Linked DNA regions of Arabidopsis thaliana. The protein of the gene in region 2 purifies or fractionates together with the protein of the main gene of each other region. This does not show direct contact. Each region holds a gene or a part of one and is shown on either strand. Other genes may lie near its edges.

Region 1 (11,969 bases), on a different chromosome or scaffold from region 2:
TCAGTCACATGGGACAGGCCTTGAAAAGAATATCATGTGCATCATCTACGTTCTAATTCTATGAAACTATGTGCTGGGGTTTGGAAGCAGAGAACTTACAGGGCCAAAGGATCTTGAGTCTAAGCTGGAAGTTTTGTTATCTCCTTCTACCCAACAATGACCTTCTGGGACTCTGATCACATCCCGAGAACTACTTATCCATTCACCAGGCATCCCGACTATCCTCTTTATGTATCTATCTCCGAAATGTGTCGGAGAGCTGCCACAGAGATGCAGTTCACATCGTCAGGAGCTTAATGATGTATTTCAAAATATACAACTTAGAACACATACGGCACAATGTCAGATGAACATTATAAAACAGATTTGAGACCTGAAAAAGCTGAGCTAAAGGAAGCAAAAAGCAAGAATAGAATCCAAAGAGTTTGTATTCATGACCAAATACATTATATCAAATGTACCAGAGATTGAATATGCACGAATTTCATGGTTCAGCACCACAAATAGGACAACAAACATTTGTAAGGTTTTAGGGAATTAGATTTAATAAAATTGTGAATGCTGTAAGCATCCAAGAAAAGGTTTAAACAAGAGATCAACATGTATTTAAGTATTATGTAGCTATAATCTTCCCTTGTCAAAGGATGACTCAAATGTGGCATTATAGGGAACATACCTGAACACTACAACATCACCACGCGCAAACTTGTAATCCTTAAGGCAAAATTTGTCCACAAGTACATAATCATCTGCATCAACATTTGAACATCTAATAAGAAAGAAGAATGGACCAAAATAAGCAAAAGTCTACCTTCTAGCAGTTTGTGCAGTAGGACACTTACCTAAATAAGAATTCCGCTGGGGATTAAATGTGGGAGACATGGAATCTCCTCTCACTGGAACAACGCTACAACATCTATCTGAAATGGTAAGCCCTATAATACTTCCAGTGAATGATTTCTTCGCCACTTGCCATAAAATATTCTGGATTCCCATGTCCAAGATGGCCTAACTAATATCTGATTCTCAGCAACATTCATAGAACCATCTATCTGCAACAAAACCAGAAGGCTTTATAGTTGATACATCATTTAAATGAGATTTAAAATACAACCAATACGATTATATCAAACAGAAAACCATTTTAGATCAAACACTACAGTCTAAAACCACAGCATTGTCAACCAGTTAATGAATCGGGTTTTCTAAATCTAATCTCAAACCATGCTAAAATTAGTGAACTAAACCTAATCGATTCATGGAACTGAAAGATGAAACTAATCTGAAGTGTAAGCCTAATCGAACCGTATCGAAATCGACCACAGGACTGTGAAAACAAAAAAAACGCAAAATCTAACGTGATTGTAATAACCTGAAAATGGAAGAAATCCAGGTGCAAAAGAATGAGAGTTGGAACACAACGACTCGCAAATCAATTTTGTGAAGCGGATGAGAGCAGAGAACCAGAGCTCGCGACGATGTGAAGAAGAAGAATCAGGGTTTCTCTTTTGCTCTACAAGGTTTAGCTGGTACCATAAATTAGCCGGTTCAATCAAAAAGTTCGTGTCGCGGATTTAGTCTGGTTTCTTCCGGTTCGTGACCGTTGGATTCGCGGTCAAAGGCCCGAAGGTCACTGCGGCTTTTAAACTGTTATTCTGCCAAAAAGTAACACTCTAACTTGTCTATAGAGTGTGGTTAACTGGAGTAAATCAGGGTCACTGCGGCTTTTAAACTGTTTTTACCGGTCTCTAATTTCAGAAGTGTGTTGGGGTTCAAAGTCAAAACCCCAACATTTTCATATTTATAATTTGTAATAATTACAAAGAACTCAGTAGTCAGTACTCAGTACAATGACATAATTCTAGTCCTATAGAACTGTTTCACGTCTCTTGACAATACACAAACTTACTGTCAAAAGCAGATTGCAACACAGGAAACGTGAAAAATCACCCTTTTCTCCTCCAAAACGATGTACATCTCTGAAACTAATGTCTGATGAAAAAAAACTTTCATTTGATCTGGGGTTTCTGTCTTGTCTTTGTGAACTGTATGTCTCCGTTAAGAACAGCTGCTACGAATTTCTCAACTTCCTCAATAGTCATATCGCCTTTGAATGTAGCAAACTTACCTCGTCGAGGCTTGTAAGCTATTAGGAGCTTATCAGAAGAAGTTTTGAACTCTGATTTGTCAAGGGAGCTCAAGAACGCAGATTGTTTTGTTGCGTCTAGAAGCGAATAGGATACTGTGTCCTGAGAACCTGTGGTTGAAGCTTGTCGTCGAGAGAGTGATTTCTGGGATACCTGGACAAAGAATAGAGCCGGAGGATTATTCATCATCAAGTCAAAGAACCAAAAGAGTAATGGCTTGAAGAAAGAACACCGCTTCACTTCTTGAAATTTATCAAAGAACCGTGTTTAACTATCATACTGAGCCAAAGGCATATAAATAGAGTATAGAGGTAGTGATATATTTGTTTACCTTGGACATTATTGACTGCAGCTTCTCTTTACCATTTGACGATCTGAAGGCACCAATGATACAAACAGGAGTGTTCTCCCCACAAATGGAGTCAAAATTTGGTCTTGACAGAAGAGGTATCTTTTCTGAGGACTCGTTAGGGGCTTGGCCCGCCTGACTCTTAGAAGAGACCTTCTTGTTCTTCTTCTCTAATCCTTCAAGCAATTTACCAAGTTCCTGGACAGCTGATTTCAGATTTTTCACAGTGATACCTGTTTTCAAGACTTGCTTCTCCCCATTCGATAACCAACCAACTATTGCCGGAAACTTGTCTACCCCCAACTTTTGTATCTTTGGATCAGAAGTATCATGGACCTACAAGATCATGAGAAAAAAATACTTTAGCTAAAAAGATTTCATGTCTAAGGAATTCTAATAATTAAGTTCAAATTTGCTGACTCGTCATTAAACGTGGACCAGGGAACCACCCCATAATTTCTACGACCATCAGACTCTCGCAGTAACAATAATTGTAGGAATAGTGATGTAAGTGGAAATTAAAGCCAAAATATAACAAACCTCTGTGTTGTAAAAGACAAATCGTCCATTGTACAAGCCACTTAGAACCCGCCAGATGACAGGAGTGTCTTTCTTTGTTGACAGAAGCAAAACTTTAGGAGTCTTTTGTGAGCTAACGGCAGATACATCGAATGTATTCAGATCAATCTTTTTTGAGAATCTCGGTAGATGTTCCTGGCAGAAGCTTTTCACCTTCTTTGCAACAAGCTCTTCAGTATATTCTGCTAAGGTAGCTTTGCCACTTGATGTGTATGAATAAACAAACATCCTTGGAGCCCTACGAGGAACTATGCCTAGTTGTTTGCAAAGAGAGGATTCTGTTTCACAATTTAATCGCCCAACCTGTAAACATAAAGTTAAATCACGTAAACAACAAAAGAAACTACACTTCTTCTTTTAAGAACGAAACAGAAAACCCAAAATCAACTAACTTGACAAGCATATGTTTTACCTTTAAAGCTCCTTGCAACGACTCAGCAACTTCCTCTATGATGGATTCATGGTACTGGCTTCCCCTCTGAGATGGAAGATACGACAACAAAAGCCAAGTCATCCCTTGGTCCACAACGTCCTTCTTATAGACCTGAGAGTTAATGGTTTTGATAGCTGCTACAGTACTGCTCTTTGATTTAGATTCAGCATTCGATGAGCTACCAAAGCCACCAAACTGCTCCTTTCCTTTAGAACTACCGCCCGAAAACATGGAAAAGATATCATCCATACCAAAACCAAAGGAGCTTTCACTAGGACCGCCAAACGAGAAAGAAAACGATTTGGAACCTCCCCCACCGCCCATATTTTGCCAACCACCAGGCCCTCCAAAGTTGAAACCACCACCACTTGAGGAGTAAGAATACCCACCATTACCTCCGGGAAACCCCGAATCAAATCCAGGCTGTCCTTTCTCATCTCCATAAAGATCATAGTTTTTCCTCTTCTCTTCATCAGATAAGATCTCATACGCTGTTACACATAGATAAGGGTTTAAACTTGTCAAAGCCAGATCAACAAAAATTCAATTTGTGCCACAAACACATGGCCATAGAACAAGAATAATCTTATAATATACTAAAAGATTCGATTACAGGACACATCTCCTAGGGAAATTTGATACCTACCATTATTAATCTCAGCAAACTTCTCCTGAGCACCCTTATCTTTGTTTTTATCTGGATGATATTTCAGAGATTGCCTGCCAAAAAAAATCACAAGCTACATGAGTAAACTATTTGTTGATCATCATTCGAATTATTAGCTTAATCAGCGACTAGAAACGAAGGGTGCTTACTTGTGGAAAGCTTTCTGGATTTCACGCTGCTTTGCATCCTTAGATACTCCAAGAACCTGAAGATGCATTCATTAGTTAATAATGTTTATAATCAATAGCAAAAACTACTGAGCAAAACCTAATATATCAAAAATCCTTCTTTTCTATAACACCCACAAATTTGTCAGCCCAAACTTCAATGAGAAAGGGGACAATCAAAAGTAATCATTATTTCCGGCCCCAATCAAAAGACTTGTGAATGGAAAGAAAACAAGATGAATCACAAACCGTACCTTGTAAGGATCAACGCTCTTCGCTTTCACATTCAACAACAACAATGTCGACACAAGAACAACAGATATCGCCAATCTTGTTCTCACCATCCCGAAAGTACAACCTCTCAATCTTTTTCTCTTTTATTGTTTTGTTGTCAACGAATCTTCTTCTTCCTCTTCTAAGCGTGTCTTATTCACGAAACTCAACGCTTCGAGAAAAATCGAGAAGGACATCATTAAATAGGTTCGCAGGGTTTAAAGGAAAAAAAGGAAATTTCTCGAATGACATATATATTTTAATTAATTTAGAGTATTCCCCATATTTAATAGTCTTACAAAAGACACCAAAATTGTCAATTGGATTAAGAAATTGGTAGGGGCAATTACTCACTTCAAAAACTAGCAGGGGTTGTTTCGTATTTCCTGAAAATAAATTCCGGTTGCTTCCCGTTCTCAATTTAAGGCGGGTATCATACGTGGCAAATTTGATGCAATCCCACGTATCTCCACCAATAAGATTTTAGCAAACACGAGCGATCGTTGTTTATTTGCGTTCACGCGCCGTTAAGATCACGCGCGATTATTAATTTGGGCTTATTTATTATAGGCCCAATAATCTGTAGTTAGCCCAAAACGAAAGTCTCCGGTTGGGTGATCGGAATCCGATCAGAGCGACGGTAAGTATTTCTTTTTTCTTCGACTGTTAAAAAAAAAAGAGGAAATCATTTTCACTAGTGACATTGTTACGTTTCAAGAGCTTAAGAGAAGTTGAAAGACGGAGGAAGAAGAAGACGATCTTTCTTCTCTTCTCTGTCTCTACTAGCTTCGCGTTTTCCTTCCTTCGCCGTGAGATTTTATCGTCGTCGTAACAAACCTCTAGGGTTCATCCTCGACGTTTCCTTGGTTAATTAGGTCAACAATATCGTCGGATCTGATGGCGTTATCGGCTTCCGATTTGCCGGCGATGTACACGCTATTAGCTAATTCAATGAGCGGTGACGAGACCGTTCGGCGGCCGGCGGAGGCGGCTCTATCTCTGTCGGAGAGTAGACCTGGTTTCTGTTCTTGCCTTATGGTAGCGTTTCTAATCTATGTGTCTTGTGGTTTCTGCAAATGTCAGCTTGATTTTACTCGCTCATTTCCTCTGGTTTGGTTGCAGGAAGTAATTGCATCCAAGGATTTGGTGTCCCATGTGGACGTTAGATTAATGGCCTCAGTGTATTTCAAGAACAGTATCAACCGTCATTGGAAGAGCAGAAGAAATTCATGGTAAGTTCAAGTTGTTTCCGGAATCGGCAATTCTACTTATAATTCTTTTTAGCTGGCTCGTTTAGATTCTTCGCTCTGCAAAGATACTACCCTGTATGTTAGGCCTTGACACTCTTTCTGGCAATTCTTACAGGAGTATGAGCAACGAGGAAAAGAGTCATCTGAGGCAGAAATTGTTGTCTCACTTGAGAGAAGAGAACTACCAGGTGTTGTAGCATTTACTTTTGATTTTTTTCCTTGACTACACCATTTGAGGCATATACTTTGTAAGCATATCTATCTGACTTTGTTTGCTTTATTGCAGATAGCGGAAATGTTGGCTGTTCTCATATCGAAGATAGCCCGTTTTGATTATCCTAGGGAATGGTCAGCATTTTCCCTTCTTAATTCATATTAACTGGACACTATCTTCCTTGATTTACTGAGTTTATGCATTGCGTGCTTCATGATATCAGGCCTGATCTCTTTTCGGTACTAGCGCAACAGCTTCACTCAGCTGACGTTCTGGCTTCTCACAGAATCTTTCTGATTCTTTTTCGAACCTTAAAGGAATTGTCTACTAAACGTCTCACTGCGGATCAGAAGACCTTCGCTGAGGTGAGTCTGCTACTAACATCAACCCCTTATCAGTTTCCTTTCTCCTCTTGAATGAATTTATTGTTGGACCAAAGCTTCGTTTTTTGCTTTAGTTAAGGATAAGGTCCAGTTTAATTTGTTGGCAGATCTCGTCGCAATTCTTCGACTTTAGTTGGCACCTTTGGCAAACTGATGTCCAAACAATTCTACATGGCTTTTCAACAATGGTTCAGAGCTATGGTTCAAATAGTGCCGAGCAGCATCACGATGAGCTTTTTCTGACTTGTGAGAGGTGGTTTTTATGTTTGAAAATAGTGCGCCAACTGATAATTTCAGGATTTCTAAGCGATGCCAATAATATACAGGTAGATACACTATACTTTTTCATGAATCTTTTTAGTTCATTATCACATTCACCTTCAGCTATCTCCCTTCTATGAACTTGTGGTATAGTTTCGCCAAATATGTGTTCCGTTCCCCGCACTTTCCATTTCTTCTGCTATCTTCCAATGGTTAAGTTGAAATCATAACCTTAATAGATTGGTTGACTACATCGGGATAGAGAAATCTTTCTTGCTCTCCGGCATATGCTCTTCATGCAGATAAAAGAATATACAGCTAACTCGTTTCTCTCAGGAGATACAACCAGTGAAAGAAGTCTCTCCTGCGCTCTTGAATGCGGCTCAATCCTTTCTTCCATATTGTGAGTTTTTTTGTGTGGTGGAAACTCTTTTTCATGCATATGACCTGTCAGCACACATATATATGTATGTATTGCTAACTTGTGTGGAGCCTCCATGCAGATTCATCTTTTCAAAATCGAGATCCTAAATTCTGGGAGTTTGTAAAGAAGGCATGTGTCAAGCTGATGAAGGTGTTAGGTGCTATTCAAAGCAGGCATCCATTTTCGTTTGGAGATAAATGTGCTCTTCCAGTTGTAGTGGATTTCTGCTTAAACAAGATAACGGACCCCGAACAGGCATTGTTGCCATTTGAAGATTTTTTTATTCAGTGTATGGTGATGGTGAAATCTGTGCTTGAATGTAAAGAATATAAGCCAAGTCGAACTGGTCGTGTGATGGATGACAACGGAGATACATTTGAGCAGAGGAAGAAGAATGCTTCCAACACAGTTGGTGGCATTGTGTCGTCACTTTTACCCAATGAAAGGATAGTTCTTCTCTGCAACGTACTAGTGAGACGGTAACACTCTTAACTAACAGTAAGATATGTGAATTCAAATTTTTGGGTCTCTCTTAGTTACCAAACTGTGGCCCTGTTATATTCATATTATTTCATGCCTTAGTTCTTATTAGTTAATTTGATAATACATAAATTTCAATACCAATGCAAAATCCAAAACATAATATGAGCTGGGGCAATCTTGTGGACACATAATGATCTAGTTGCTGTACATCTATGTATCTCTGGTCTCAATCTCTTCTTGCTGCGTGCATGGAATAAATGAGAAGGCAATGTTACTGTCGGGGCCTAGTGGAGCTAGTTTGAAAATTATTGCATGCATTAAGTTCATTTATTGTGTTGTGAACTGTGATGGTGTCATGGTCGTTGTATGAATGATGCCTGGAAGAAAAGTTTACTGAAATTAACCATCGACATTCCAACAGGTATTTTGTACTAACAGCAAGTGACCTAGAGGAGTGGTACCAGAACCCTGAGTCCTTTCATCATGAGCAGGACATGATTCAGTGGACAGAGAAATTGAGGCCTTGTGCTGAAGCTCTATATATGGTTTTGTTTGAGAACTACAGCCAAGTAAGTAGCAAATAGTCTTAGGCACTTCATCCTGTTCTGAAAAGAAGTCTGCTAATTGATATAGATATCATTAAACGCTATAACTGATGCGTATTCCATCTGTCTCTATAATTGTGGACAGCTGCTAGGACCTATTGTTGTGTCCATCCTTCAAGAAGCAATGAATAATTGTCCCCCTTCTGTTACTGAAATAACTCCTGCACTGCTTCTTAAAGATGCGGCATACGCTGCTACTGCATATGTCTACTATGAGCTCTCGAATTATCTTAATTTCAGAGATTGGTATGCTCTTGATCTTCTAATGTCTGAATCTTTTTTCCATCTGCTCTAAACATCTTGACCCTTCATTTTGCTAGCCAGCAGAATGTGACAAAAGTTTTGATTAGTCAAGTAATTATTGTACCCTTCTTAATGATCGGATGATTGGCTGCAGGTTTAATGGTGCTCTATCCCTTGAACTCTCAAATGACCATCCAAATAGGCGTATCATCCACCGAAAAGTTGCTATGATATTGGGACATTGGGTTTCGGAGGTACTGCTGTTTACTTGTTTTACACCGGCTTTACCATGTTTATGCAGCTAAGCTTGACAAGGCTTTGGAGGAAATCACATCTTATCTTTTTTTCTAAAAGCATCTTAAGATTATAACATAATTTGCAAATTGACATAATATCTTGTCCATAAGTTGAGTCAATGAGGGATAGCCATCTAAAAGCAGAATTGTTTCTGGTTATTTGTTACAAATGGCTATTAGGGTTAGTTACCCTGTTGGTTTGTGTTCTCTTCTCTACCCTAGTTTTCGTCAATTAGATTTTGGTTGAAAAATGGTTGGCTAATGGTAAATGGTTGATGATTACAACCTTTCAGATTAAGGATGACACAAAAAGAGCAGTTTATTGTGCTTTGATCAAATTGTTGCAAGACAATGACCTCGCTGTAAAGGTAGTCTCATCTTATCTCATCTTTGTTTCTTTTATCTTTCTGTCTTGCATTAAGGGCACATTCTCTCATTTTTTTCTTTATATGTATTGGTGACCTCTGAGATCATCTGTTTACTTATGTAGCTGGCAGCTAGTAGGTCATTATGCTTACATGTCGAGGATGCAAATTTTTCGGAGCAAAGTTTTCTTGATCTTCTTCCAATCTGTTGGGATTCATGTTTCAAAATGGTCGAGGTAGTTCAAGAGTTTGATTCGAAGGTACTTGATGTAGCTGCCTCAAATTCATTATAGCACTCCATTCTTGCCATTATACTTCCTTCGATGACTCATACAACATCTAACTATTCTCAGGTTCAAATTCTGAATTTGATTTCTACTCTTATTGGCCATGTTAGCGAAGTCATTCCGTACGCACAAAAGTTGGTGCAATTCTTCCAGAAGGTATACTAGCTTTCTTTGTGGATTTGTTTTTTTGTTTTTTCTTTTCTTGGTCCGCAATTTATAGCTGACTATCTATGTGGTTGACTTAAGAACAGGTTTGGGAGGAATCTTCTGGTGAAAGCCTTCTGCAGATCCAGCTTCTTGTCGCACTGCGAAATTTTGTGATTGCACTTGGTTATCAGTCTCCCATTTGCTATAGCATACTGCTCCCAATACTCCAAAAGGGCATTGACATAAATAGCCCTGATTCACTCAACCTTCTGGAGGATAGCATGGCAGTAAGTTTCCATATCATAACATGTATACCTTTCTTTTCTGCTGATACAAATGCGCTATATATTAATAACACTGCTCTACATATGCAGTTATGGGAAACCACACTTTCCTATGCTCCTATGATGGTGCCCCAGCTATTAGCATTGTTTCCCTATATGGTGGAGATCATTGAAAGAAGTTTTGATCATTTACAGGTGAGCTTTTTAAGTTTTCAAGGAGTTGTTTGATTCATTAATGACCTATACATGTGTGTGTTCAGATTTACTTCAACATGTTACGTCTTGAGACATTCAAATGACCATATATAGGTTGCTGTCAGTATCATGGATTCGTATATCATTTTGGATGGAGGAGAATTTCTAAATATGCATGCTTCAAGTGTCGCAAAAATTCTTGATCTTATCGTTGGAAATGTAAATGATAAGGGTTTACTCTCGATTCTTCCAGTGATTGACATCTTAGTTCAGGTGCGTATAATTTCCCATTTTCCCAATTGGTCGTATCCTTATTGTGATGGTGTTTAAGTTCCAGAGATACTTATTCTTCTGTTAAGTTTGTATCTAGACTGCATTTATTTTTGTATTACATAGCCTCATCTCTTGGGATACATATATATTGACCAGTAATGGAACTTTTGGCATGATTACACTGGAATTTTTTGTCATGACTCTCTATAAATGTGTTGCAAATTACGCCAAGTTTAACTTCTTGATATGAACATGTGCTTGTGTATTGAGCAGTGTTTTCCTGTGGAAGTGCCCCCTCTCATCAGCAGCTGTTTGCAGGTGAATTTTTCTAGTCTTCTTTTGATGGATGCAAAATCCATTTTCTTCCTTAATGCATCTGATGGAGTTGGTTTGTTCGTTTTCTCGCAGAAACTGGTGATTATTTGCTTGAGTGGTGGAGATGACCGTGATCCATCCAAGACTGCAGTTAAAGTGTCTTCAGCAGCTATCCTTGCAAGGATTCTGGTGATGAACACCACTTACCTGGCCCAGCTAACATCTGATTCATCTCTTTCAGTGTTACTCCAACAGGCAGGTGTCCCAGTCGAAGACAATATACTCCTTTGCCTCATCGACATTTGGCTCGACAAGGTCAGTGAAGAACACATCTTGAACATTACTGGTTGTTCGAATAGCTTTCTAGACTATTAACTTTCAGATAATGGAATATTAACTTGTTTCATGTCTTTACATGGTCTTTTTCTTGAATCCTAAGCAATATCTCATTGTCAAACTGCTCTACATGTTGAAATGCATGTTTCTTTTTCATTATCTGACGCACTTTAGTCTTGCATCTACTCGTGCAGGTGGACCATGCGTCTCCCATGCAACAAAAGACATTTGGCTTGGCTCTTTCCATAATACTTACACTTAGAATGCCCCAAGTTCTTGACAAGCTTGATCTAATACTAAGGTACAGGTTTGCACAGTCGAGAATTAACAGTTTGACTTATGTATCTTTGTGATATAATTTATCGCGTTTCTGGAAACAGTACATGCACCAGTGTGATCCTTGGTGAAAACAAAGATTTAACAGAAGAAGAATCAAGGTCAGATACTTTTTTTAATTACTTACATTACATAACATTATTAAATTAATTTTAAGTGACTTTTTTTATTTGTTATTGAACTGTTCACAACACTAAGAATTAAGAAACACACAATTTATAATTCCAGCGGTGACATGAGTTCAAGCAGGTCTCAAGGAGAAGAAACCCCGCCAAGCAAAGAGTTACGGAAAAGTCAGGTAAAAGTTAATTTAAAATATGGGTTTCTTGAAGAACCAGCTTCTACAAAACCACTGATTTATTACACTTCTTTTTTGGGGGGTTGGATCTTATTTAGATAAAAGTTTCCGACCCAATCTACCAGATGTCACTAGAGAACTCAACGCGTGAGAACCTTCAGACATGTTCTACACTTCATGGAGATGCCTTTAATTCTGCCATTAGTAGGATGCACCCATCGGCGCTTGCACAAGTGAAGCAAGCCTTAAAGCTGCCGTGAATAAATGTTTTTGCCTCGTGATTGTTTGTTTCCTTATCAGTTAAAGAGCAGCAGTATTCAAGTGAGTTTCTGATTCGTTGTTATTCTCTCTTTTCAGCG
Region 2 (11,201 bases):
TATATTCCCTATATATATGAATGAACTATGTTGGTGTTAAGAACGGAAAAAAAAAAACCTTATGTTGGTGTTGGTGTCGGATCACGCACGAGCCGGTCCGTTTTGTTGCTAATTACGACTCCCAAAAAAAATCATATGTTTGGTTTAGGGGTCAATGGTCGATGGTCAAAGAATCAAATGGTTTATATGATTTAATTCAAATATAAAATGGTCATGAATAACACATCAAATAAAGAAAGAAGGAAGACTACCCATATATATGGACTATGGATGGATCCAAGTTTTCTCACTGTCTTTTCCACGTGAACAATTTTGTTCCAAATATTAGCTATTCTTCTATATAATTAAACACAATAAAATATTTACTGTTTTCCCAAAAATAAATTACCAAAAAAGGACACATAATAATTAATGACAATTTTATTTTTTGACTTTTTTTTATTTTGTCCATTTATGTTTTTATTTTATTCGAGTTGGTATATATTCACAAAAAAATTGATTATTCACAACTTGATCACGTATCTGTTGAGAATCAAATTAAAGACCTCCAAAGAAAAGAGATTTAATGGGAAAAAAAAACTCCCGATGTGACTGTAAACTCTTCTCCTCAACAAAACTTGTGACATTTTTGTTACCTCGACAAGAAAAAAGAAGAAGAAGAAGAGAAGTTATGCTCGCTGAGTGCAAGCGTTGAGTTTTCTTTTCAAGTAGATATATCAGTTTGTTGAAAGTAAGTGTTGAGTTTACGTTTAATTGGAAAGTGAATTTTAGCTTGCTAAAATTAAATGTTGCGTTATCTCTTCGCATATAAATAGATTGCAGTTCTGTGGATGTAATTTTGAGTTCTATCTTCACACAAAAATAATTTAGCTCGTTGAGGCTGTTTTGAGTTCAATCTTCTTAGAAAAGTACTAAGTATTGAGTCATCTCTTCCGCTCAAGACCGCAAAATGACCAATGTTAGTTCCATATATAATATATCTAAGATCAGATATGGATGAGTTTGCGTGTGTGTAATTTGAGTCTCCTTCAATTATCTTAAGGATTTCATGTGATCATTCAACAACCCGCTGATTAATTCGCTCCAACACAAATACATATTTGGAAATCAACCTAGCATTTTAGGTACCCTCACTTCAAGATCATTTTGTATAAACGTAATATATAATCATTCTTTACGGTCCAAATATTGCGGACACATTGTTGGTTTTCTTCCAAACTTTTTCCGACGTCTTGTCCTAATATATTGATTTTGCCCGACAAAAAAAAGGTGTATAGAGTAATTAATCAATGGAAACCTAACATTTAACTTTGAAGTTTTGAAATTCCGGTTTGACTGACTAGTGGTAGGATAGAAATAACTTGAAACAAAACAACAACATAACTTAGAAAGATTTAGATTCATATTCTCATAATTAGAAGAAAAAAACTAGCTTAGACTCCGACTATACATCGTCAAAAGTACATGGAATAATTGAACAATAGGGCTTACTAGATATTTAATATTAATAAAATAAAGAATTTGAATCAACAGTTATCGCAATTATCACTATAAGAAGTACCATTGTATAAACTATATTGTTGCTCAAATTTTCTTTGAAATACGATAACATTTTATTTTATTACCAAATGAAACATGCCAATTTTGAAAAAAAGTCATGCCAATTATACCATGAGAAGATATATTATAGTATATCTTCCCACATATTCTTATATTTCGTAGTCTTCCAGAAAATGTAGTAGGTTTAACTTATCAAACACTTCAAGTAAGAAAATGAAATGCGTCTTTAATCAACGACGAATGTCCCGATCATTAGAACCTACCGTTCTTTGTTCATTTTACCTCTAATGTTTCCTACGAAGCTACCATTATTACGTAGATAACCATTTTTTATTAACAAAATATGTAAAAGATTGTTATAATCTGTTTACAGTTCAACTTTTTCAAATGTTAGGATATGCTCACCCGTACAAGAAATTACGACACATTTATCTCATCATATTATCTTTCGCGTATATGATTGGGCAAACATTCTCACTAATCTAAAGCAAATTTGAATGATCTAGTTTTAGAAAAATCCGAACCATGCATGTTAATAGAAAATATTCACTCGAGAGCCTTTAAAATTTTGAAAATCTCATTTTATATGAAAACGACCTTCTTTTTTTTTACTATGATTGTTGATTAATTGGGTTTATTTTTGCATCATATAGCAGCTTCAATTTTTTCTTCTTTTATTTCCAATATACTTTTTTATTTTATCTAAGTGATACATAACCTTTTTAGTGTTAATACATCTTAATTTAGTCATTATGAAGATTGCATGACAGATCTACAAAACTTCTTACAGTGACGTAGACGTAGTTTGATTAATTTTAATACATATTTGTTTTGGTAACACCTACAAACTTCTTACAACATGATCCACCGATGACCGATGTGTGAATGTGAACATTAACCGATTTGTGTGAATATGAACATTAACCGATTTGTGTGAATGTTCACTATATGCATGGACATTCATCAATATCCCAAAGTTACTTTATCGTGTACGTATACTTTATATCGATATATATCTACTTATTATGCACTTTTATTTAATTTCATAAAATTTTGTGCACTTTAATTTCTTTCTCCATCATTTTGATTTTCAGAAAAAAGAGCATGAATCAGTTATTTAGTCCAAAAAGATTGTAATTTTACAACACAAAAATGCTCCCAATATAAGTTTAAGAAAGTATCATCCCACTATATTTTACTTCAATTGTAGTTTTGAATTTTTCGTTTGTATGGAGTTGTAGCATATTTTTATAATCTTAAAACAATCTCATATAACTTTGTGGTGGTGAGTGGGTCATTTGACCCCAAATTTTTTTTTATTTTATGTTATTTAAGGTTATAAATAAATTAAAAAAAAATAGCATGGAGTCAATTAACCCACTCACCACAATTTAGCTCTACATGTGATTATATACTACCCGAGTTACCAATATTTCATATACATGTCGACATTTACATCAACATGTATATGAAATATCGGTAACTCATAAATCACTAGTAAATTACAAGTTGATATAAACATATCTACTTAATCGAGAAAATGACACATTCATGGAAGAAAGTATTGATTTGATGCGGAATTCATGCTTGGTATGCTACTTGTAACACACTTCAAATATAATTCTGGTATTTTTACCGTACGATAATCAATAAAAGTCTTTGATTTTGATTTGTAATTTGTCTTTATCTAAATTTAATAAATCTTTGCACAAATTTGCAAGCAACAATCTTTCGAGATGGACACGTACCTAGTAGTCCAATCCCAACAGTATAGTATATATCGACTTAGGTGGTTAACTAATGACAGATTCCATTTCTTAGCTAAATTTTGTTTTTAACCTATTTGGCTATTTTATGTTTTGACTCTTCGAATACTCCCTATGTTCCAATTTCCAAGTAGTCTTGGACTACTCTTGGCTTGTTTAAGGTCTTTTCATAATCATTAACTATCTTCTTTTAAGTATGTTTTACTAATCCTGAAACGTTTTCTTTCCACTGATTAATCAGCAACTTCTGCAACGTTTTCTTTCCATTGATTGACCCAAACAGCATGTTGTGCTAATCTTTAGAAATAAAACGTCACGATGTGTTATACTGATGATCACTTAAACACACGCCTTTTATTATCACAGCGACCATAATCGAACAGTGTCAGTGTCTTTATTATTCATCAGTTAATCTTGACTGTCCATTAAAAATTTGATGACGTGTCCTTCCAAGGTAACTTTTAACCTTCTAACGTCTTTTTAACTAAAGTAAAAGTAAAAATATAAAAAAAGTGAAATATCTAGAGAGAGACAGAGAGCCCATTTGGTGCGGAGGTTGACAGAGCTTTAGTTCCGTACAAATGGCGAGTAAGAAGGTTGACGGAGAAGGAAAAGGGAAAGCTATAGCGAATACGAGGATGCTTCGAAGCATGGATCGAAAGACTCGAAGCGATACTAAGCGAGATGGTTCTTCTTCTAAGCTCATGAAGATCGAATCTCCGGAGAAGAAGAAACGGAAGACGACGAAAGCGAAGAATGTTGGAGCTGCGAAGAAGAAGGTAAAGAAAGAAGAGGTAGCTGTGAAAATCGAGAAAGAGGAGGAGGAAGATGATGATGCTGCAGAGAAAGAAGAAGATGACGACTCCGATAAGAAGAAGATTGTGATCGAGCATTGGTAAACGAAATGTCTCTCTCGGCTTTGGTTTTTTTCTTTTAGAGTTTCTGGAGAAAATTGGGGGAAAATGTAGTAGCGAGTATTTAGGGATTTTGTTCTCCGATATTGAAGCTAATCTTTGGTTTTGTACACAATGTGTCATTCGCCTATATAATTGATTCAATTTCGTTGCTTAGGTTGAAATGTGATCTATTATCGTATTTGGTTATGTTTCTTAGTGTGGTTTTGATTGATGTTAGGTTTCGTTATGTTGCTGATGTTTGTTTGTTGTTGTTTTCCTGAAGCAAACAATGCAAATCATTCAAGGAGAGGGCTAATGAGGTGAAGGAAGGTCTAGAGGAAGCTGTTCCTGGCATCATTGTCACTGTGAATCCTGATAAGGTAGTGAATCTTTTGCTGCAGATGTATATATTTGTCATTGATGCTTGTTGTTTATGATTGTTTGTACCAATGTGTGCATTAATAAGCTAATTCTTTCCTTTTTGATCTGCTTTAACAGCCAAGGCGTGGTTGCTTTGAGATTCGAGAGGAAGGCGGCGAGACATTCATCAGTCTTTTGGTAAGTTTTTCACTCTCATACTTGAATGTAGTATGCCAGTTAGTCGCACTTATGTGAGTGACTTGTTCCAGTTGGATTGATGTTTCTCGTCGTGTCTGTATCTATTCGCATAACATAGTTTCTTTGATGGTATACTTTAAAAAGTGAAAATCAACTTTATTTTCTTAAGCTCACACGAAATTGAGGCTATTTTTGCTGAGTCAACTGATCACCAATGAGGTTTTGTTAGAGCATTCATAAAATGGCCTTTGGTTGTTTGCTTTTTAACTGAATCAAGTTGAGTGCTAAGTTGTTTGAAATAAGAACAAACTAGCAGATCTGATTGTTAGTGACTAGGTGTACAATAAGAAAATGTTTGCTTTCATGTTCTTTATTCTCAGATGTATATAGAAGATGATGTGATTTTCTTATGTAGGCTATGAAGCGCCCATTTACACCGATGAAGGAACTTAACATGGAAGAGGTCATTGCGGACATCGTAGAGAAGATTAAGTAACACAGCTAGTAGGTTCTACCAATGCCGAGTCTTTCGTTTCCTCCTTGGCCCTCGGCTAATAGGCTTCAATATCTGACTATCTAGAGCAACTGCAGGATTTTTTAGGCTTAATTTTGATATATTGGTGAAAACCATTTGAGCACGGTTTCGTCGTTTGGTAGTGCTTGATCGGCTTTGTGCAGTTTCTTTATGCTAAAACTTCCTGATATATATGGGATTAAGTCTGTCTTCGTAATGCTAGTTTGAAGCAATTCGTTTCGTTTCATTTATTGTTGGATTGTGTTTGGCGTTCAATTACGTTACGGATTGGATGAATGAAGATAAAACATTTAGTTACAATGTGGTAATACAAGCTTCACAGGACAGAACATCACACTTTCATTGTCTAATGATAAATGATTGAGGTACAATAATGTGAGTAGAAATTGTTAGTGTCTTTGATCCACTTCGTATCACCATTGCCTCTGTCTATGTTCGAGTCTCATTATCAGTTTAATTTATCCTCGACTCGCTGTCTTAAATCATCTTAGAACCCAACAAAGCTAGCCACAAACCCGAGAACAAGGACAGCACCGAAGCTCAAACCGGTGTTAGAAGCAGAAGAAGGTGGTTCAGCCTCATCAGCTGCTGCCATCTTCTTCTTGCCAGACTTATCTGGAGCTGGAGCTGGAGAATCACTTTCTGATGGTGCAGATGCAGGTGCGGTTTCTGGAGCTAAACCAGGAGGAGCATCTGCATAATCCCCTTCATCAGCAGGAGCTGGAGCTGGAGTGGCTGCACCCTTCTTGGGAGATGGGGCCGGTGGTGAAGACATGGGTGGTGGTGGAGGAACCTTAACCGGAGACCCGAGTCCAGGTGCCACAATGGGCATGCTGATCTGGACCACAGAGAGATTGTACGGGTTACGGAAAACGGTTGTGATGTATTCAGCGGTTTGAGGAGCGCCTTTCACACCAGAACCAAAGTAAATCTTTCCGTTAGATTTGGTGCAGTTGAGGAAACCGTTTTGCTGTTGGCCCAAACCGGTGGACTGGTAAAGGGTAGTGAGCAATGTGCTCTTTTCCTTGAGAGCCTTGAGCTTAAGCTCATCAAAGTAGTCAAGAACCACATGGTTCATAAGAATGTTCTTGACCTCTTCCTCGGGTCTACCAGAGATGGAACCGATAGCATCGTTGTTAAGGGCCAGCACGGTGATGGTCTGACGTTTGTTGATAATTGGTGTGAGCTCGGTCTTGGCAAGAAGCTCGGTCATGGTGCTGAATTCAGGGTATTTCTCGAGCACTCGGGTTATGTTAACCGCTGATACAATGGATGAAACAGCGAGTAAGATGGTGAGACAGAGGAGAGAAGAGGAGACCTTGAGACCCATCTTTGGGTGTCTTTGTTTATTACCCTTATTATTCTATAGTAAAAGCTCAAACCTCAAAGCCTGAGTTTGCAATAAGAGGATCAGGTTGGGTATATATACAGACCTTAAGAGGAGCTCAAGATTAATGGTGGAGAGACATTTACTTATATTTGTTTTGGCTAAATTTGAACATGACTTTATTGTTACCTCTATATTTGGCTTTAGACTGTTTTATTTTTACCTTTGGTTCTGAGGTTTGCGTTATTGATACAGAGCCAACGTAGACAAGTCCATCCTAATCTTTATTAAGTCAATTCTTCAACAACTTGAGGTCCGAAGCTAGAATCAGGAAGTTGTGACAGGGTCATAGGATGTTTTATTTTATTTATTTTATTTTTGAAGATATGTTTTACCAACAAGAAAAAAGGAAATACAACAATAAAAATGCTTTTAAGAAGATAATAAGAAAGAAAGGACAATATGGAAGAAAAAAAAGGAAATTACATTAACGCGTTAGAACAAATTATCCTCAAGAGTTTTCTTGTTTATATAAACATAACATTACACCTTCACTTCTCCACAATTTCAGATTTCACAACAATCTCCTCTCCCATACGACTAATCTTTTCTCTCTATCTCTGAGTTTTGTCTAATTTCACTACGATCGACGATGGAAACTGAATCAATCAAACTCGATGTTCAAGTAACGACTACGTCTCAAGATCCGTCGTTAGGGTTGTTAAGCACGGTAATAATCACTCTTGACAGAGATCTGGAGGAATATGACGAGAATGTTGATAGCATCAAGAGCCTCGGATCTTACCCTGATTCTTCTACTCCCGACGAGTCACTAATCATTCTGAAACTCCCAACCTCCGAACCAGACTACATCTATCTAACTCTCCGTAGCAAACTCAAAGATCATCTCCACGATCATGTCTTGTCCGAAGAAATAGCTGATCAGATTTTCGAAGCCCAACTAGGAACTCAAAGTATTGATCAGTTTCCGTTTCAACAACCTTTATTCATGCTAGTCTCCGTCAAATTGACACAGAAGTTATACACCTACGCGCCTTGTAACGCTTCTCCGTTGGCAACAGATTTGACTAAGAGAGCAAAGTAGAAGAATCGAACTCGCATCTGTTTCATGAAGATTGTGTCGTTACTCATGTTCTCTGTGGGGAACCTGTTTACGAACAACAAGAGTCTAATTAGGGTTTTATTCGTGTGTCGCAAGTCTAAGTTTAGTTTTAATCTCTGTCGTAGACGTTTAAGATGCTAATTAGGGTTTTCTCATTGTCTATGTATTGATCTCAATACCTTTTTGTTGACAACATTCAATGCAGTTTACTTTAATAAAACTCAGAGTCTCAATTTGAAATTCACTTAAAAATTGTCATTACAAGTTTGATACTTGTATGATACACAACATTGATGTTAAAATCGAATTTTTATTCAGATAAAAGACAAGTGAACTTGAAGAACTAAAATTCAGATTCTCGAATTGTAATGCTTACATTACAAGTTTGTTTCTTGTTTTTAACAAAAATCTTGATTGGCAAGCAACATAAATTTTTATCTGAACCAAGAACAGTATTCGTTTAGAAAGATGAAATAAACAAGGAAACAATCTAATACCAGACTTAAGCAGGCGTTCATTGTTACGGGAAGCGAGATGTTCAGCAGAAATATCGGCCTCTGCGAAGTGTGTATTGTGAATTTGTGATTTTGAGACATGTTCCTATGTGCCTGAGGGTCTGTGAATTCATGCCCTAAGCTTTCAACTTCTATCTTCATCTGAGACATAGCAGCAGGACCATGAAGCTTCTTTTGTAGAAGCCTTCTTAGCCTTTGACACTCTTTTTCAAGTCTTGCAATCTTTTTCACACCTTCCAGATGCTGCTTATTTGCGATTTCCGCTGACTTCAAACTCATGTTTTTCTCTTCATTGTTGCGGATCTCAATTTCTCTCTCAGCAAACTGAAGATTAGTCTTTCAGCTTTTCCACATCAGCTTCAGCTTTAGACCTCTCCTCACTAATCTTTACTATCATCTCAGATCGTTCTTGCAACGATCTAGTGAGTGCTGCATTGTCAGAAGCTACTCGGTGAAGTCCTTGGCTCAATTCATCGATCTTTTCTTCAAGCATAGCTTTGATCTTTCCCCAGTGAGTGGTCTTAGCAAGAGTCACATCTTGCAGCTTCTGGTCACTCTTATCTGCAGCTTTAAGAGTGTTACAGATTCAAGTTGACGTTTAAGTGCTAAAGAACAAAAGACAAATCAGTAACAAAAACATCTTTAAACAGTCTGTATTTTCTAAATTTCTAATACTAACACACAAGAATTGCTCACATAACATCTCAAGAACTATGAAAGGTTTTGTGCTCTAACCTGAAACAGCTGCTTCAGCGACTTTTCCATGTTAAAGAATCATTCTTTAGTCGTAAACTCAGAGTAAGCATGATTGAGTCTTTCTTTAAGATTTAACTTCAACTTCAAATAATTTGGCCTGATCCTCTATTTTACTCATACGTGTGTATGACTCGATAGTTATCTGAACATAGTCTGTGTTCTTACACTTCTCCTGACAATCAAAACACAAAAGACTTACAAATGAAATTTATAAATTATCAAAACTGACACATTAGGACTACTAATCTCATATAAAAGCAGAGATCCTGATTCTCCAGAGAAGCTATAGGACATAGAACAAACAAGAGTTGACTCATTTCCAACAACCGGTTTCACAGTCGTGGCTTTGTCCCAAGACTTGCTCTTCCATGGCCAATCTTTTTGGTAGTTTTAGCTTCATTTTTTTGGTATATATATATATATAGATTAGTTTCGGTTTCGAATTTTACAGTTGGATTTAGGTGAACTATATTGGTTGGAAACTCCTCTTAAATTGATATATAGGATTAAATGTTTTACATAAGACCCTAAAACTTTCGATGATTGCAGCACATAAACCACTCTTTTCAAGTATGTTGAACACATTAGCGTTTTGGATAATCCAATTTTCTACACGAAAAGCAACTTTTCACTTGAAATATGTTTTTGCCAGCTTAAGTCAGAGAAAACATGAATACTATAGAGGTCTTTAAAAAGCATTTGATAAAATATTAGGTTGCTCCCAAGTAACATATAACACAATTAGCACATCAACATGATGATAACCAGAAAAAAAAAAAAAAAATCAAAGAGATTGTGAAATATCACAATTTATCTAACAATCTCTTTATTATTGTAACAAAATATATTTTGGTTATTAGTTAAAGTATTTGAAGAACTACTCTTGCCGTCTTCGGGACGCACGCAGTGGGCTAGTCTGGGCCCATTGGGCTTGGGATACCTGGGTTATCCAAAAAAAAATATATATATATATATATATATTTTGGTTATTAGTTAAAGTATTTGAGGAAAATCAAACAACACAATATAAACCGGCAAATTACAATAGGAAAAATGGTTTGGTTTAAGCACTCTGGTATAACGAGATGTTTTACCAACAAGAAAAAAAGGAAACAAGGTAATATGGAGAAAAGGAAATTACATTAACGGTTAGAATAAAGAAAGGAAATTACAATTAACGCGTTCGAACAATTATAATCAGAGTTTTGCTTATATAAACATAACATTACACATTCACTTCTCCACAATTTCAGATTTCACTACAATCTCCTCTCTCATCTAATCTTTTACGAATCATCTTTCTCTCTGATTTTTTGTCTAATTTTCACTACGAGAATGGATACTGAATCATTCAAACTCGATGTTCATGTTCAGGCTTGGTCTCAAGGTCGGTCATTAGGGTTCTTAAGCACCGTAGTAATCAGTCTACATAGAGAAGTCGAGGAATTTCTCATTAAAGAGAAAGATGATAGTGTCACGAGTCTCGGTTCTTACCCTGATTCTTCTTGCCACGACCCACTAATCTCTCTGAAACTACCATGTTTTAAACCAAACGACGTCTTTCACCGTCTCCAAAGCCAACTCCACGATCATGTCATGTCCGAACAGATATCTTCTAAGATTGTCGAAGCCCAACGACAAAGAAGTCAAAGTTTTTACTCACAACAACAACCTTTATTCATGATTGTCTCTGTCAAATTGACTCAAAAGGTATACAGTGTTGTCCCTTGTATTTCTTCTCCGTCAGCAACAGATGTGGACCAAGAAGAAGAATCGGAGACTTGTGCAATCTGTTTGGAGAATATGTCGAGATCTGAGAATTATTGCCAGATGCCTTATTGTAAGCATTGTTATCATGAAGGATGTGTCACCAAGTGGGTGATTGGTCATAATAACTCTTGCCCTCTCTGTCGCAAACCTGTTGACAAATAGCAGAGTCTAATTAGGGTTTTATTTTGTGGTCTTTAGTGACTTTGTAAACTTAGCTTGTTTCGGAAGTGTGTTTAGGGTTTTCACTTTTATGTTTCATTGTTTTGTCTAGAGGCAAATTAGGGTTTTCAGAGTTTATGTATCTGTTTTTGTTGGTAACATGTAATTGCAGTTTCATTTACAAGTTTGATTCTAGTATGCGACATTGCAACACAAAACGCTGTCTTAAACCAAAT

The links.
Region 1: the proteins of AT2G24440 (region 2) and ATERDJ3A fractionate together in Arabidopsis thaliana (co-fractionation; one large-scale study listed by BioGRID). This does not show direct contact.

What each region holds. Positions count from the first base shown.
Region 1 is NC_003074.8:2,730,306-2,742,274, reverse strand, and holds ATERDJ3A (DNAJ heat shock N-terminal domain-containing protein), read right to left. Parts: upstream 4,979-11,969; 5' UTR 4,970-4,978; exon of another isoform or gene 4,919-4,969; intron 4,823-4,918; exon of another isoform or gene 4,788-4,822; 5' UTR 4,687-4,787; coding exon 4,597-4,686; intron 4,381-4,596; coding exon 4,325-4,380; intron 4,229-4,324; coding exon 4,155-4,228; intron 4,000-4,154; coding exon 3,488-3,999; intron 3,379-3,487; coding exon 3,037-3,378; intron 2,833-3,036; coding exon 2,479-2,832; intron 2,301-2,478; coding exon 2,010-2,300; 3' UTR 1,726-2,009; downstream 1-1,725. Other genes in the region: AT3G08980 (Peptidase S24/S26A/S26B/S26C family protein), read right to left, coding at 100-259, 677-749, 843-996; AT3G08960 (ARM repeat superfamily protein), read left to right, coding at 5,513-5,653, 5,738-5,847, 5,981-6,053, 6,152-6,213, 6,303-6,444, 6,570-6,788, 7,060-7,126, 7,227-7,626 and 15 more. UniProt on the Arabidopsis thaliana protein: Regulates protein folding in the endoplasmic reticulum (ER) lumen. Functions probably as a co-molecular chaperone that is required for normal growth of pollen tubes under high-temperature stress.
Region 2 is NC_003071.7:10,387,217-10,398,417, forward strand, and holds AT2G24440 (selenium binding protein), read left to right. Parts: upstream 1-3,858; 5' UTR 3,859-3,907; coding exon 3,908-4,221; intron 4,222-4,505; coding exon 4,506-4,602; intron 4,603-4,720; coding exon 4,721-4,780; intron 4,781-5,195; coding exon 5,196-5,276; 3' UTR 5,277-5,802; coding exon of another isoform or gene 5,803-6,645; 3' UTR 6,646-6,718; downstream 6,719-11,201. Other genes in the region: FLA3 (FASCICLIN-like arabinogalactan protein 3 precursor), read right to left, coding at 5,803-6,645; AT2G24460 (C3HC4-type RING finger protein), read left to right, coding at 7,295-7,747; AT2G24470 (filament-like protein (DUF869)), read right to left, coding at 8,612-8,847, 9,364-9,406; AT2G24480 (Zinc finger, C3HC4 type (RING finger) family protein), read left to right, coding at 10,372-10,968.